Linked DNA regions of Drosophila melanogaster. The gene in region 1 interacts genetically with each later gene. Each region holds a gene or a part of one and is shown on either strand. Other genes may lie near its edges.

What was found.
Region 2: of vap (region 1) and Appl, changing one suppresses a phenotype caused by changing the other (phenotypic suppression), as found in Drosophila melanogaster (one study listed by BioGRID).

What each region holds. Positions count from the first base shown.
Region 1 is NC_004354.4:15,999,611-16,007,742, reverse strand, and holds vap (vacuolar peduncle), read left to right. Parts: upstream 1-1,930; 5' UTR 1,931-2,758; intron 2,759-3,298; exon of another isoform or gene 3,299-3,415; intron 3,416-3,656; 5' UTR 3,657-3,817; coding exon 3,818-4,028; intron 4,029-4,100; coding exon 4,101-4,214; intron 4,215-4,293; coding exon 4,294-4,366; intron 4,367-4,447; coding exon 4,448-4,857; intron 4,858-5,030; coding exon 5,031-5,880; intron 5,881-5,952; coding exon 5,953-6,859; intron 6,860-6,924; coding exon 6,925-7,075; intron 7,076-7,157; coding exon 7,158-7,306; 3' UTR 7,307-7,792; downstream 7,793-8,132. Other genes in the region: CG12698 (uncharacterized protein), read right to left, coding at 67-243, 312-452, 503-636, 688-799, 923-1,066, 1,134-1,238, 1,316-1,516; CG8939 (uncharacterized protein), read right to left, coding at 8,105-8,132.
Region 2 is NC_004354.4:529,504-534,381, reverse strand, and holds the start of Appl (beta amyloid protein precursor-like), read right to left. Parts: upstream 3,213-4,878; 5' UTR 3,193-3,212; intron 2,756-3,192; 5' UTR 2,584-2,755; coding exon 2,506-2,583; intron 1-2,505. Other genes in the region: CG4293 (uncharacterized protein), read left to right, coding at 4,852-4,878. UniProt on the Drosophila melanogaster protein: During development, plays a role in the regulation of the neddylation pathway. Appl and APP-BP1 interact antagonistically during development.

The DNA.
Region 1 (8,132 bases):
TGTATATGGTGAACGTGTCGCGAATTTTTTTCATTTTATGATACTGATACTTAATTTAGAGCTCACCTTCCTTTTCTTGCTCTGTTCGTTTTCATCCAGCGATGAGGTGGATTGCACGTACTCGTTAATATCAAAGAGCGGCTCGTTATCGTTTGGACCTGTGTCATCATCCAGGAGAGGTCCAGTTTTGAGATTATAAATGTTTGGCAGCTGGAACACCTTTTCCCGGTTCACCATATTGACCTGTGATGGATAAAACGATACTATATGCATATTTCTGTCAAATTCGAGATTTCTAGCAGATAGCACACCTTCATGTGAAGGCATTGTAGCACCACGCATTCCCCGCTAAGGACAAAATAGACATAGCTCATGGTACCCAAGTCTTCGGTGTAGATCGTCTCCAAGGGCTCGAATTGCTGAATTGTTCCATACTTACTGGCATTTACAATCTTACAAACAAGTTATATTATAATTTCTTTTTATCTACTATTATACTTACCTGTTCTTCGTTGAGAAAGTCAAAATAGTCAAGGGCCCGCAGAGCATCCTTCTTTTCCTGCCACATCTTTTGCATAAACGGTAGAAGAACAATTTTATAGTTCGTATTGAATATAGCCAGGAGTTCGCAATAAGCTGAAAGAATCAAATGCGATTAGGTGTCAAGAAACAAACGAATCGATTTACTTGTGGCGATATAAGTGTTGGTTCTGGGTGTATCTTCCATCACGTCAATATCACCAATGCAATCCCCGGGTCCAAAAATGGCCTCCGTTTGTACGGTAGGACGACTGGAGCCCTAAGAAATATACCATTTTTCAAATAAAAAAGCATATATATTTAATAAGGCATAATTGAAAAATTGTAGCTATAACTATGCAAAGCATATTAGAAAGTATTATATATAATTTGAATAGTTTACCTTTTTATATATGTTCTTAGACATTTCCACCTCACCGGCGATTATAAAATAAATGGTTACGGGAAAATCCTCCTCCTTCATAACAATACGCCCGGGAGATATTGCCATGAATTTGACAATCGGAACAAGACGGGCGCGGACTTTCTAAAAGGGGTAACAGGTCGGATAAGTAATATTATACATATGTACAAATGATCAGCGCGCTACTCACTGGCGGAAATTTTGAAAAGCAAGCCAGATTTGCCACAATGGTGCAGAGCTTTTTCCTCTCATCGACGGAACGCTTAGCATGTGGAGTGCGCAGCAGCGATTTCTCCTGCAATTAAGCAAACACAAAAAGGAATAAACTCTTGAGCTAGCCTTGATATGAAAGAAGAGGTTCGTTGGACTTACGGCCATGGTCATCATGCCCACTTTGCGCTTCTGTCGCAGCATGGCAACGTTCTTCTTCACATTCAGCGATATTCCACCCTCCTCGGGCAGCTCACTTAGCCACTGCATATTCAGTATCACGGATCGGATGAGCTTCTTAAACCGAATCTTGGCTATTTTCTTTCCAGCGCCATCGTGAACATCGCGTTGGCGCTTGGACATGATTATGCCTTCTAAATCCCACTGATGTCGAACTGTTCAGTTCAGAGTATTGTGTCCATATAATAGTATTCGAATGACAAAGATTCGGGCTGCCGCCTGCTGTCTAAATAAGCTTGAAAATATGAAAATATATAAACTTAATTTTACCCCATTTCAGATTTTGACGGCTAACGGTTTTCGTGCGCACAAAAAACATGTGTTATTTTCAAAGTGTTTAAATCATCTTTTGTAATTTCAACACATATTAGCTTTTCATTTAAGAAATGTACATTCAAATGCTGAATAAATATTATTTGCGTTTGTTTTTTCTTTAAAATATTATATCTTAAATTGGCTTATCGTTTATAATCGATTTCTTATTCGAGCTGTACTCTCTGGCGCTATCTTGACGCACATACATTCGTCCGATAAGTTGGGTGTGTGGTATATTTCGATGATTCACTACGTTCACACTGCGCACAATTGAATTCTGTGGCTATCGGTACGGAAGAAATTTTAGTTCGTTTTAAATATGCAATTGTTATGAATAACACAAGTTGAGCAAATAAAAGACGGCAATTCCCAGCAGCGCGATTTGTTTTTTTAGCTCGGTGCTGCAGTGCAATGTAAAGTATATAGAGGAAAATATTTACACATGCGCATTAACCGATTAATGTTCTGTGTAAATGGTTTTATTTTTTTTTTTTTTGTATTTTTTGTTACCCATATGAGAGAGAATTAAATGGTTGTGCTAATGATTCATTTACAAAGGAATCACAAACCGAACACAGCCCAGAAATTGTGAATCAAATGGGCAGTAATTACCCCGCTTGAGAGGAGTATGATAAAGACGGCGACGGTGATGACGATGTTGATGATGATGAGATGGTGTTGATGATGATGATGATATGATGACTCTTCGGGTCGTGTATGTATGAAGAAAAGAACCGAATGAATTTTTTTGTGTTCGGCTCGTTTGGCAAAAAGGGCTTAGCCTAAAGTTTGTGTGTGGTGTGCGGCTCATATAAATCGCTTGTGTTTTAGATAGATGTTGATGTACAAGAGGGTGCAGCATATTCCTATATATATACCAATGTACATAAAGTATATATACGGTGTTACAATTCATAAGTAACTTGTACTTTCATACAACTCGAAATATCCTAAAAATGTCTGCGCATATGTAAGAAAGTCAGTCGCCCGGCGATTTCAAAGAGCAATATGTACATATGTACAGTGGCTCACAGCTTAATTCGTCCAGAGGTAAATGTTTATTTAATAATTCGATGAAAAACCGTTTAAAATATCAAAGAAATGGAATAGACAATTTTCCTTATCCATACACATTGAAAACGTATAGAATCAATATACAGATTCTAAGATGAAAATCTTTATAGAAGAAACAACTTAAAGATCTTAAAGTTGTATGGTTTTTTGTTGTCTAAGCTGTGGGTTCACTACACTCCTATATTACTGACTGAAACAATCACAATTGATTTGTTATCTGTAAAAGTAAACAAAGCGCAAACAGCTGATGGATGTGCTGTCCATCTTATCTTTCATTTAGTTTACTGCGAAGTCTACGTCGTTAATTGCTTTTAAATATGGTTTTGGATATAAAGTAGCATTGTCTCTATATTCTAATTAATAAACCCGGTTTCTGGTGCTGGTTGTAATCGGTTGTAATAGCGCCTATTAGTAAATTTCTTGTTTTACCAATAGGCTTAGGTTTAATCGTATTTAGTGTAGGTGTGATGTATTCTTGCCCCACAATTTTGCATACGTTGTTAAATTATTTGTTAGATCCTCAACTTTCGTAACATTGGACCCGAATTTTGTTTTGGACACTTATAGCGAATCTATTCCAATTTGTTTTTGTGAGATTACCACCACCGATATGGCAAAGAAAATGATTTCACGGTAAGCCCCGAATTCCGAATTATTTTCCATTATCTATATTTAATAGCATTAGAAAGCGGAAACTAGAACTAACAAATCTCTCGGGGCGTTTTTAGTGAATGGTTTTAGACATATCTTGGTTTAGTTAAGCATTTGATTCTATTAGTGACTCTCTAATCTGATTTCTGATTTTTATCAAATATGATTTTCGTATTGTAATCAAAGTAAGGCAGCTAAGTGTTTTTATCTGGTCTTCTTACAGTTTAGCACGGAAAACCCCACACAGTCACAAAAGTTAACGTATCTCCTCAGTTAAACGCATTCTTATCATTGCTATATGTGGCTTTTATTAAATCGAATTCCACTCGAAGTTAAATATAGACTAAGACTCGCATTTGCTGAACAGAGATCATAAGCCTAACAATGGCGGACCTAATACATTTGGGAAACATTGATGTTGTCATCCAGAAAGATAAGCCCGGATCGCCAACGGGCTGTTCGGATGATGGGAATCTTGCGGGGCTGGGTGGCATGACCGGATTGGGTGGCATAATGGCACCTGGCGGCATCGACTTGGGTGACTTGGCTCAGGAATTGGATCACGATGAATTCGATGGACCACATATGCTGAATGGTAAGTAAAGTTACATGCCCATACATTGTAGTTCGATCGATAACTAATTTTCCTTGCAAACTCCAAACGCAGGTGAACGTCCAGCGATTATTGCTCCTCCGGAAAGCGAATGGTACCATGGACGACTCGATCGCTACTCTGCAGAGTCTCGCCTACGCGGAAGCAGTAAACTGGGCAGCTATTTAGGTGTGTATAAGATGGTATTCGAAGGTGAGAAAGTATTACTAAATAAATACCTTTGTGTTCTTTTTTTAATGCTGAGCAGTTCGCGAAAGTGACCGCAAACCTGGCTCCTATGTTCTGAGTTATTATGGCCGCACCGGCATAAATCATTTTCGGTAAGTAATAGGTTAAGATACCCATTAAATGCCATTGTTTTGAATGATTTTTTATATATGTATGTTGTATCGTTAACATAGGATTACAGCTGTGTGCGGAGACTTCTATATCGGAGGACGACAATTCATTTCCTTAAGCGACTTGGTTGGTTACTATACCTCATGTAGTGATCTACTGAAACGCGAACGCTTGGCCATACCAGTTGCTCCGCCGGAGCCAGTTAATGATAAGAAACGCGTCGTAGCCATCCTGCCTTACACAAAAATGCCAGAGACCGATGAACTGAGTTTCCAGAAAGGTGATATCTTTTTTGTACACAATGACATGGGCGATGGCTGGTTGTGGGTGACTGCCCATCGTACGGGCGAGCAGGGAATGATATTCAGAGAACTTGTTGACGATCTGGATGTATCTATCGATCCAAATACGGTGTTTCCCTGGTTCCATCCCAACTGCACCAAAAACGAAGCCGTCGATATGTTGGTTAAAGGTGTGTATTATTAGTTTAAGGTACCTACAAGTAAGGAAAGCAAGCTTTCCCGAGATTCACGAGATGAATCCTTAGAATTTTGAGCTTCTTCTAGTGACGCCTACAATCGATATTTTCGACTTTTCTCTGTTGCTATATGTATGTAATTGAAACACATTTTTTCATCCTAACAGCTGGACCAGGAAGTTTCCTCGTTCGCCCAAGTGACAACTCACCGGGGGATTACTCTCTATTCTTTCATATAAACAATCAAATCCAACGCTTTCGTATTGAAAAGAAAGGCGTGCGCTATTTAATGGGCGGTCGTACATTCGAATGCTTGGATGCGGTTATAAATCGATATCGCAAAGAGCAAATTGTGGAGGGCCACTCACTGAACCATCCAGTTGTCAATGGCATTCAGCCCGAGTTCAATCAGCAATATGTTGTGGAAAAGGCCGCTGAAAAGATCTACGCAACATTGCGCGAGTGTCGTGACCAAATCGGTCTCAAAAAGATCAAGGGAATCAAACATCACGGCCATTTGAACAAGAAGTCGGACAAAACGACGAAATGGAAGCAACTCTATTTCGCTTTAATCAACGATGGTTCCGAGACGCAACTATGCTTCTACGACAATCCGAAGAAGACCAAACCGAAGGGTCTGATCGATTTGTCCTGTGCTTACCTCTATCAATGTCACGATTCGCTGTGGGAGCGTCCCTATTGCTTCCAAATTGTCGAAAGGGCCCTGCCATGCTTGGCCACAGTGACGTATCTGTGTGCTCCTAGTCAGGAAAGCTACGTGGAGTGGATTAATTCGCTCAAGGCACAATGCGATTCCCAGCTGAGTCGTGCCCAGAAGAAGGTATCACGCCTTCGTGAGCTTCGTTGTCTTAATCTGCATGTGCTGGAAGCTCATCGATTACCATTTAAACTAGTGCCACATCCATACTGCAGTATTTCCCTCAATCAAGTCAAAGTGGGCAAAACTCGTGTCAAAATTGCACCCGAACCCGTTTGGGAAGAGGAGTTTGTGCTAGAGTAAGTCTACCATTCCTTCGCCTATTTGATAACTTATCGAATAATATATGTTTGTAACTTGCTTGCTTGCAGCGATGTTCCGCCAGATGTTGTCTCCCTAACCATAACATTAATATCGCGCGGCAAACGCGGTAAGGACTCCGAAGTGGCTGAGCTAACCATTGACTTGTCTAGTCTAAAGAATGGCCAGGAAACCGAGGGCTGGTACCAACTCACTGGCATGACGCCGATGGGTGAATGGGGCTCGCTACGATTGCGTATGCGCTACCTCGACGATCTGATAATGCCGTGTGAAGAGTACAGTCCTCTGCAGCAATTGCTCCTCGAATCGGAGCTGTATGCTGTGAAGGCGCTGGCTGAATTGTGCCATAATGATCGGGTTCCTTTGGCCACGGCTCTGTTGCGAGTCTTTAGGCAGGAGAAACGGGAAACGGAACTAATTCGAATGCTGTGCCAAGCGGAGGTGACGCGCGAAAACGAAACCACAACGCTTTTCCGTGGCGCATCCTTGGCCACCACCCTAATGGATCTATATATGCGCACCGAATGCAGCGGCTTCCTGCAATCGGCCGTCAGCGAAACCGTGCAGCGCATTTTGGAGAGCAAGCAGTCGGCTGAATTGAATCCCACGAAAATGGACGTCAACGATGATGCCTGTACGAATGCCGAGTTTCTATTGCAAATCCTCGATCTGGTCACCCAGTCGATATTCACTTCACCGGACGCCTGTCCACGCAACGTGCGTTTCATTTGCAGCTGTCTTCAGAAGGCTGTGATGGCCAAATGGCCGACAGAGCGGCTCGTTCGCACACGCGTCGTCTCTGGCTTTATATTCTTGCGCCTTCTGTGCCCAGCGCTGCTCAATCCACGCCAATTTGGATTGGTCAGCGAGACGCCACCGATGGCAGCAACACGATCTTTGGTCATGGTCGCCAAGTGTCTGCAGAATCTGGCCAACTTGATTGAATTCGGCGGCAAGGTGCGTATCGATTCGACTCAGTTATGTGATTACCAAAATAAATTCGATTTCTTTTTCATTTTTAGGAACAATACATGGAGGTTGTCAATCCGTTTATCTTGAAGAACAAGGAGCGTATGATTGTTTTCTTGGATCAACTGTCCTCGGTGAACGATCCGAACCAACCGCTTGGAATGTTTGTCGAACAAAGTACAAATCTGAATTCACAAGACACTGGTAATTATTTGTCAGCTCATGTTTTCTATTTGGCGCTGTTATATTATTAAATATACAATGATTTCTTTTATAATTCCTGCAGGACGCGAGCTGGCTACCTTGCATCACATCTGCGTATCTCATTCGCAAGAACTGCACGAGCTATCCAACATACTTTCAATTAAGAAGCTGGTCACAGTGACGGACATGCTGACCAAACACAAGCTGAAGTATCGCGAGATGATCAGCTAAAATCAATTGCGAGGAGAGCGGATAATAAAAAAAAGCGATGTCTTCTTATCTACAAGTCCCTTCATACCTTTTTATAAAAATATTTATATGTGTATACTATTAGAATACATAAAATAAGAACTCAAAATAACTGGTTGAATTGTATTGGAATAGTAAACAGCATCTCATTTATAAAATTATTTATATGGAAATGAAATAATATTTAACAGACCGGTATGCATTTATTTATTATTATTATTACAAATTAAAAATAACCTATAATACACTAGCTTACACGGATTACTCCGTATAGCCGCAAACTCAGATATTCAAAATGGTTTTGCTTTCGATATTGTTTAAAATTTATTAGTGCATTACCAACGTCAAATGGCAGTTGGCGTCCAAATGCACGGCATTTATCCAAAAGTCAATACATTTTTTTTTGAAATAACGCATAAAATCGAAATAAATTAAAGAATTCAAAAAGAGTGCAAAAGACTTCCTCTGAAAACATACACTGTGTTTTTGAATGGCTCCCTTTCGGTTTCTTGCAGCTGAAAAATGTTTTTTTTTCGAATTTCTTCGCACTTAAAGGCGTTGCAATGGGCATGGAAAAGTCAATAGTCAGCTGAATTTAATATAAATACATATATTCTTCAAAGGAAACAACAGTTTTGCGTTTATATTTGCAGTTTCGCATCTGATTTCTTATTTTAAGTGTATAAAATCATATTCAAAGAAAAAAAAAACTACCTGATTCGTTTTATATATATATTTAGTATCTATAAAATATTACATATTTATTTTTTAGATTTACATTTATTTACGCCCCTTCCCCTTGCGACCC
Region 2 (4,878 bases), about 15 Mb from region 1:
GGGGGAGTTGTGCCAAAGAAGCATGGTGTGCAACTAAAGTTGGCCGTCGGTTCGCAGTTTCTACCCGACAATCAAATGGCCAACGACTCCCAGCCACCCTTCTCCACCCTCCTGTCATCCCCTTTGAAAGCCCCAGGCCTCTGTAAAAAGGGACTTTGAATGGGCTGTTTGGCAGCAACGATTGCGTGTTCCGTTTGCCAGGTTTGAGGGAGACACATCGTTGGCATCGAGTGTTTGGGGAGATTCTCGGGTATATTGCACATTGCAGTCCGCAAATCCCTCCCTGCTTTCTGGATGATTCAGACATGTCCTTATAAAAAAAGAGTGAAAAAGGGCAGAAAGAATACAAGCAGAAAGGAGATAGCTACAAAACGGGTGAGCAACTGGGGAGGGCAGGGTACAAAAAAACAGAAATTCTTTTAAAAAAAGTCCCTAGTTGGTAATGCATTACTACAACATTGGAGGAAACCACTACTTTGGAAATCCCGCTTAAAACACACAGAACTTTGCCGACAGTTTTTTTTTTACTGAAAATGTGGGTTATATTGCAACCAACTGCTAGCATTTTTCACAAAGAAAAATGATCCAATATTAAAGTTACACGAAGCAAAAGGTATTAAAACGCTTTAGCAGTAGTTGTCCCAAGCAGGGTGGGAATGGTGGGTGCAAGCGACATAAGTAATCAACGACCACCACAAAAATGACGTCGGCGATGCGTGCCCCTGATAACAACGAAGCTGAAGGGTGGACCTGTGGGTGAGTGGCTGACCAGGTCCAGGCTAGTCCTGCCATGAATTGCACGCAGCGACGGTCTAGCATGAATAGCCGAATTAAGGGTAAGATGGGTGGAGAGTGAATGAACGAATGGAGAGCAAAGCAAATTGCAGGCTGCATACAAAGCAAGACATGAAAGGAGTGCAATGCGCTATAAAGCAGCTTAACTGCTCCCCTGTCCGGGATTGGGCCGAACTCCTGGCTCCTGGGTCCTTGGAGGTGCTGCCCCTCGGTTCTTCTCTTTCAATTGGTCTGTCTCCACATGAATATGGATTTTATTAGGTTTTTGTTCCGCCACAGAAGACTGTTCGCTCTGCGTTGCCAAGGGAAAATTGCTCCGAGGTATTTAAGAGACAAGAAAGTAAAGCAAAATTGTTAAGGTCAGGCACGTCGGCGATTGTGGATCGGCCCCAAAGAACGAGAGCTGCCGCCTGGCAAAAATTGTTTGCAAATGATTTAAAAACACTTTAGCTAAAGCTAACAATATCCTAGTAACGCATGTCTTCCCTTTTGGTTTGTCGGTAGGTGTGTGCGTGCACGTATGCCAGTCGATGAATTGACCTGAACAAGAGGATTCGTGGTGAATGCAGGTCCAGCCCCAGACCAATTTGGGGATTATGCTCAGACAGAGCCGGATAGTTTTTAGCCGGACTTAAACCCCAACCGAAGGACGCATAACCCGGCCCCGCACTCCATTTCTACGATATTTGCCAGTCGCTGCGTGTAGAAAATCAAAATCAAAATGTCTGCACGCCCTGTTTGGTTTCGGTAACACCTCCGCTACTTTTATATGCAAATTGCTAGTCGAAGCCAGCTGCTGCTATCCTCTAGCCTCAAGTTTTCGGTTTTCGGCTTTCAGTTGGCCAGTAGCCAGCGACAAGCAAACGGTTCAATTAAGCCAATACTTGCGCACACTCGCAAGTAATTTGGCAGCCCTATCACCCATCCCCATCCCATCCCCATCCCATACCCATCCCCAATCTCCAATCCCCAATCCCCAATCCCCAATCCCCAACCCTTTCCCGCCTTCAAGCCCTCGAGCCTTTAGTGCCGCTGCTAAGCGATGGCACATTTTTCGTAGCATACTTTGCGCGGCTGCTTAGCCGACGGCCACCACATCCCACAGAAACCCGCTCAAGTGCTTGTGTGCTTGTGTATCTGGCTCTCTGTGTGTGTGCGAGAGTGTGGGTGCCTGTGTGTGTGGGTTGCGGTTGCGATTGGTATTGCTGTTGCACGCAGAAAGTATAGAGCCACACTGCTATTTTGTGAGCCGTACTCAAGTTATACATAAGTTGGGTGTTGTGTCAGTAAGCCAGATGAGGCAGTAGCGCAACAACACAAGTCCCTAATTGCTGGAGACCTACTTGTCTTCCCCGGACACCGAATTAATATTGTTTTGACTTCTATCAGCTTCAATGCGTGGCTAACATCGAGCGTCGAGTTGTCTGTTTAAATCAATTTGTCATCCCGATTAAAGCCCTAACGAAACAATGTTTTAGTGTGCAGTTTTGCCCAGTTTCCCAGTGTTCTCTGTCAGTTTCATTTTCGGTTTGTGTTTCTGTTCTGAGTTTCGGCTCTTTCGACTTACTCCTTCGTTCCATCGAGTATTGTATCGAAAGTGGAGTGAAATGGTCTGGTGTGCTGTGGTGTGTTGTGGTGTGCTGTAGTGTGGTGTGTTGTTATGTCGTGTGGTGTGGTGTAGTGTGGTGTGGTGGGGATTCGGTGACTCACCTGAACCTGAGCAGTGCCAATGGCCAGGACGACCCAGAGGCTCCTCAGCAACAAATTACGACGCAGCGCGGCGCACATTGTTCGCACTCTTTTCTGCTTCTTTGCTCCTCGTCTGGTTGGCTCCTGGTCCTATCTCCTGGCTGGGAATCTCCGAGTTTGGTCTGAACTTAGCTGCTTCTGCGGCTGGACTGACGTGCTTCCAGTTCTGGTTAATTGTATTTGCTTTGTTGGCTATTCGTTTAACACTTTGCTGCACAGGCGGACGACGGTAGCAGCAGCAAGAAATCGAAAACACAAAAAAATTTCATTAGCAAGCGATTCGGAATTGTGGCCTTTCGTTTCAGCCTTTAACTTTCTGGGTTCTGGGTTATGATTTCTGTTTTCTGATTTCTGCGCTCTAAGGTTCGTACTCCGATTTCGTTCGATTTGCGGTGCCCAAGTTAGCTGCCCACAGCGCAGCGCTTTTCCTTTCGCCGATGCCCAGAAACCTATGCACGGAAAATGTCAACTCGGAAAACTCTGTGCGTGTGGCTTGTATGTGAGTGGCCGTAGTATTCGATTGTGGAACGTAGTAGGAGAGAGTCCGTGATGGGCGGGGGCGGATAAGGGAATTGAAGGAAAAGGAAGAAAAGAAAAATAAGGCAAAGCTACGAGAGTACTCGCTGCTATCTGTCCTGTCATACCCACTCGCTGGTTCTCGGGGTCCTGAGATTGTACTTCCCCGAAACGGAAAATATGAGTGGCACTATGGCCGCCGTTCTGCGCCTGGAAAAGTTGTCAGCTGCAGTCGTCGGGTTCCACGTCCCATGTCACTTGTCCATGTCTCCTGTCTCCTGTCTTGGCAGTTCCCACGCAAATCCACCCACTCGCTAACCCCTTCCCGCACTCTTGGAACGTATCCGTCGGGCTTCTGCGCACTTTCCCAACCCCTTTCTCACTGATTCTGCGCAGGTGCGCTGCTTATTGTCCCCCAGCTAAGTTGGCATCACAAATCCACTATTGGCATCGGCTTCGCTTTTTCTTTCCGAACTTGTATCACTTTGTTTTGGATGTTTCTCTATGGTTTTTGTTGTTGGGTTTCTTTTTTAGCACTATTTAGCACTTGAACAGCAAAAAAAAGTATTGAGCTTGTTTTGGTTAAATTTGACGGTCTCTCAATGTGTGTCTCTGGTTTTGTGCTTGTGGCTCCTCGGCCACCACCTCTCCGCCCGAGCGGGAGAACGACAAGAGCCACTGGCCAGCAGCCCCTGGCCTTCCCAAGCTGTCGGGGAGTGGTCAGATGGGGTGGCCCGAAGAAGCCCCTAAAGCGCTGAGTTTTTGGAGCCCTGGCTGTACGCTATACCTGGCGCTGCGAACGCTCACAAACGACTGCGAGTGGTCTCGTTGCCTGCAATCCTGCGAGTCCACGTCCGAAAGTGCGAACTGCGAAAGTCGAACTCGGGCGCAGAATGCAGAGCGCGTGCCCGGGATCGATATTAAGGGCGAATCGAGCAACTGGCCTTCCGCTTTCCGCGGGGGTGACAATGTTTTTGGCTGTCCGGGCTGCACTATGGTACCAGTGCTTCCAGTGGTAGTGGTATTAGCGGAACAAGCAGGACAGAAGTGACTAGGGAGAACTGGTTCCGCGGGCGAACCAAGAGTGTCTGGCGGAGTGCTTGTTAGTTAGTTTACATGCACACCGCTAGGTGGAAACTCCCAAGGGAATTTCGCACAGGTCACCGTCTTCAAAAGGCTGTCCTATGCACGAGTTTTTATAAACCACTAAACTTAATTCAAATTTGTTTTCCTCGATGGATTCAAGAGTTTATATACTTTTTCTAATGGTGAAGCCAATCTGCACTAGATGGCGTCGATATGTAAGATGTAAGATGTAAGATGTAAGATGTAAGATATGACCAAATCCAAGTTTCCCACCACCAACCACCCAATTTCCTATCCACATCACTTATTGCTTGGCCCTTAGCCAAGTTGCAAACCACTTTCGACATTATTTAACATGTTCATTTTTTCCTTCCCAGCGACTGGCAACTCTGTGCCGCACAGCTGATCTTCTTACCGGCTACAAATTAGATTTCTTACATTTGTTTATTTACGCCGCCTCCTACTTGCTAGGCCTCAGGAAAGCATAAACCTAGGAACGGAGCCTGGTACAGACACGGAGCTATACACCTACAACAACGCACATTTCACCTAGTTGCGCAACGCACTTAGCCGGCTGGCGTGGCAGTGCACGGTAAGCTGAAACGTACGTGGCAATGAATATGAAATCGAGCTTGCAGGAACATTGAACCAACGAGCGTGTAGCACTAGACCCTAATTCCAATACCAACTCCTTATTTCACCAAGATGACGGCCACGTTGCGTTACCGCGGC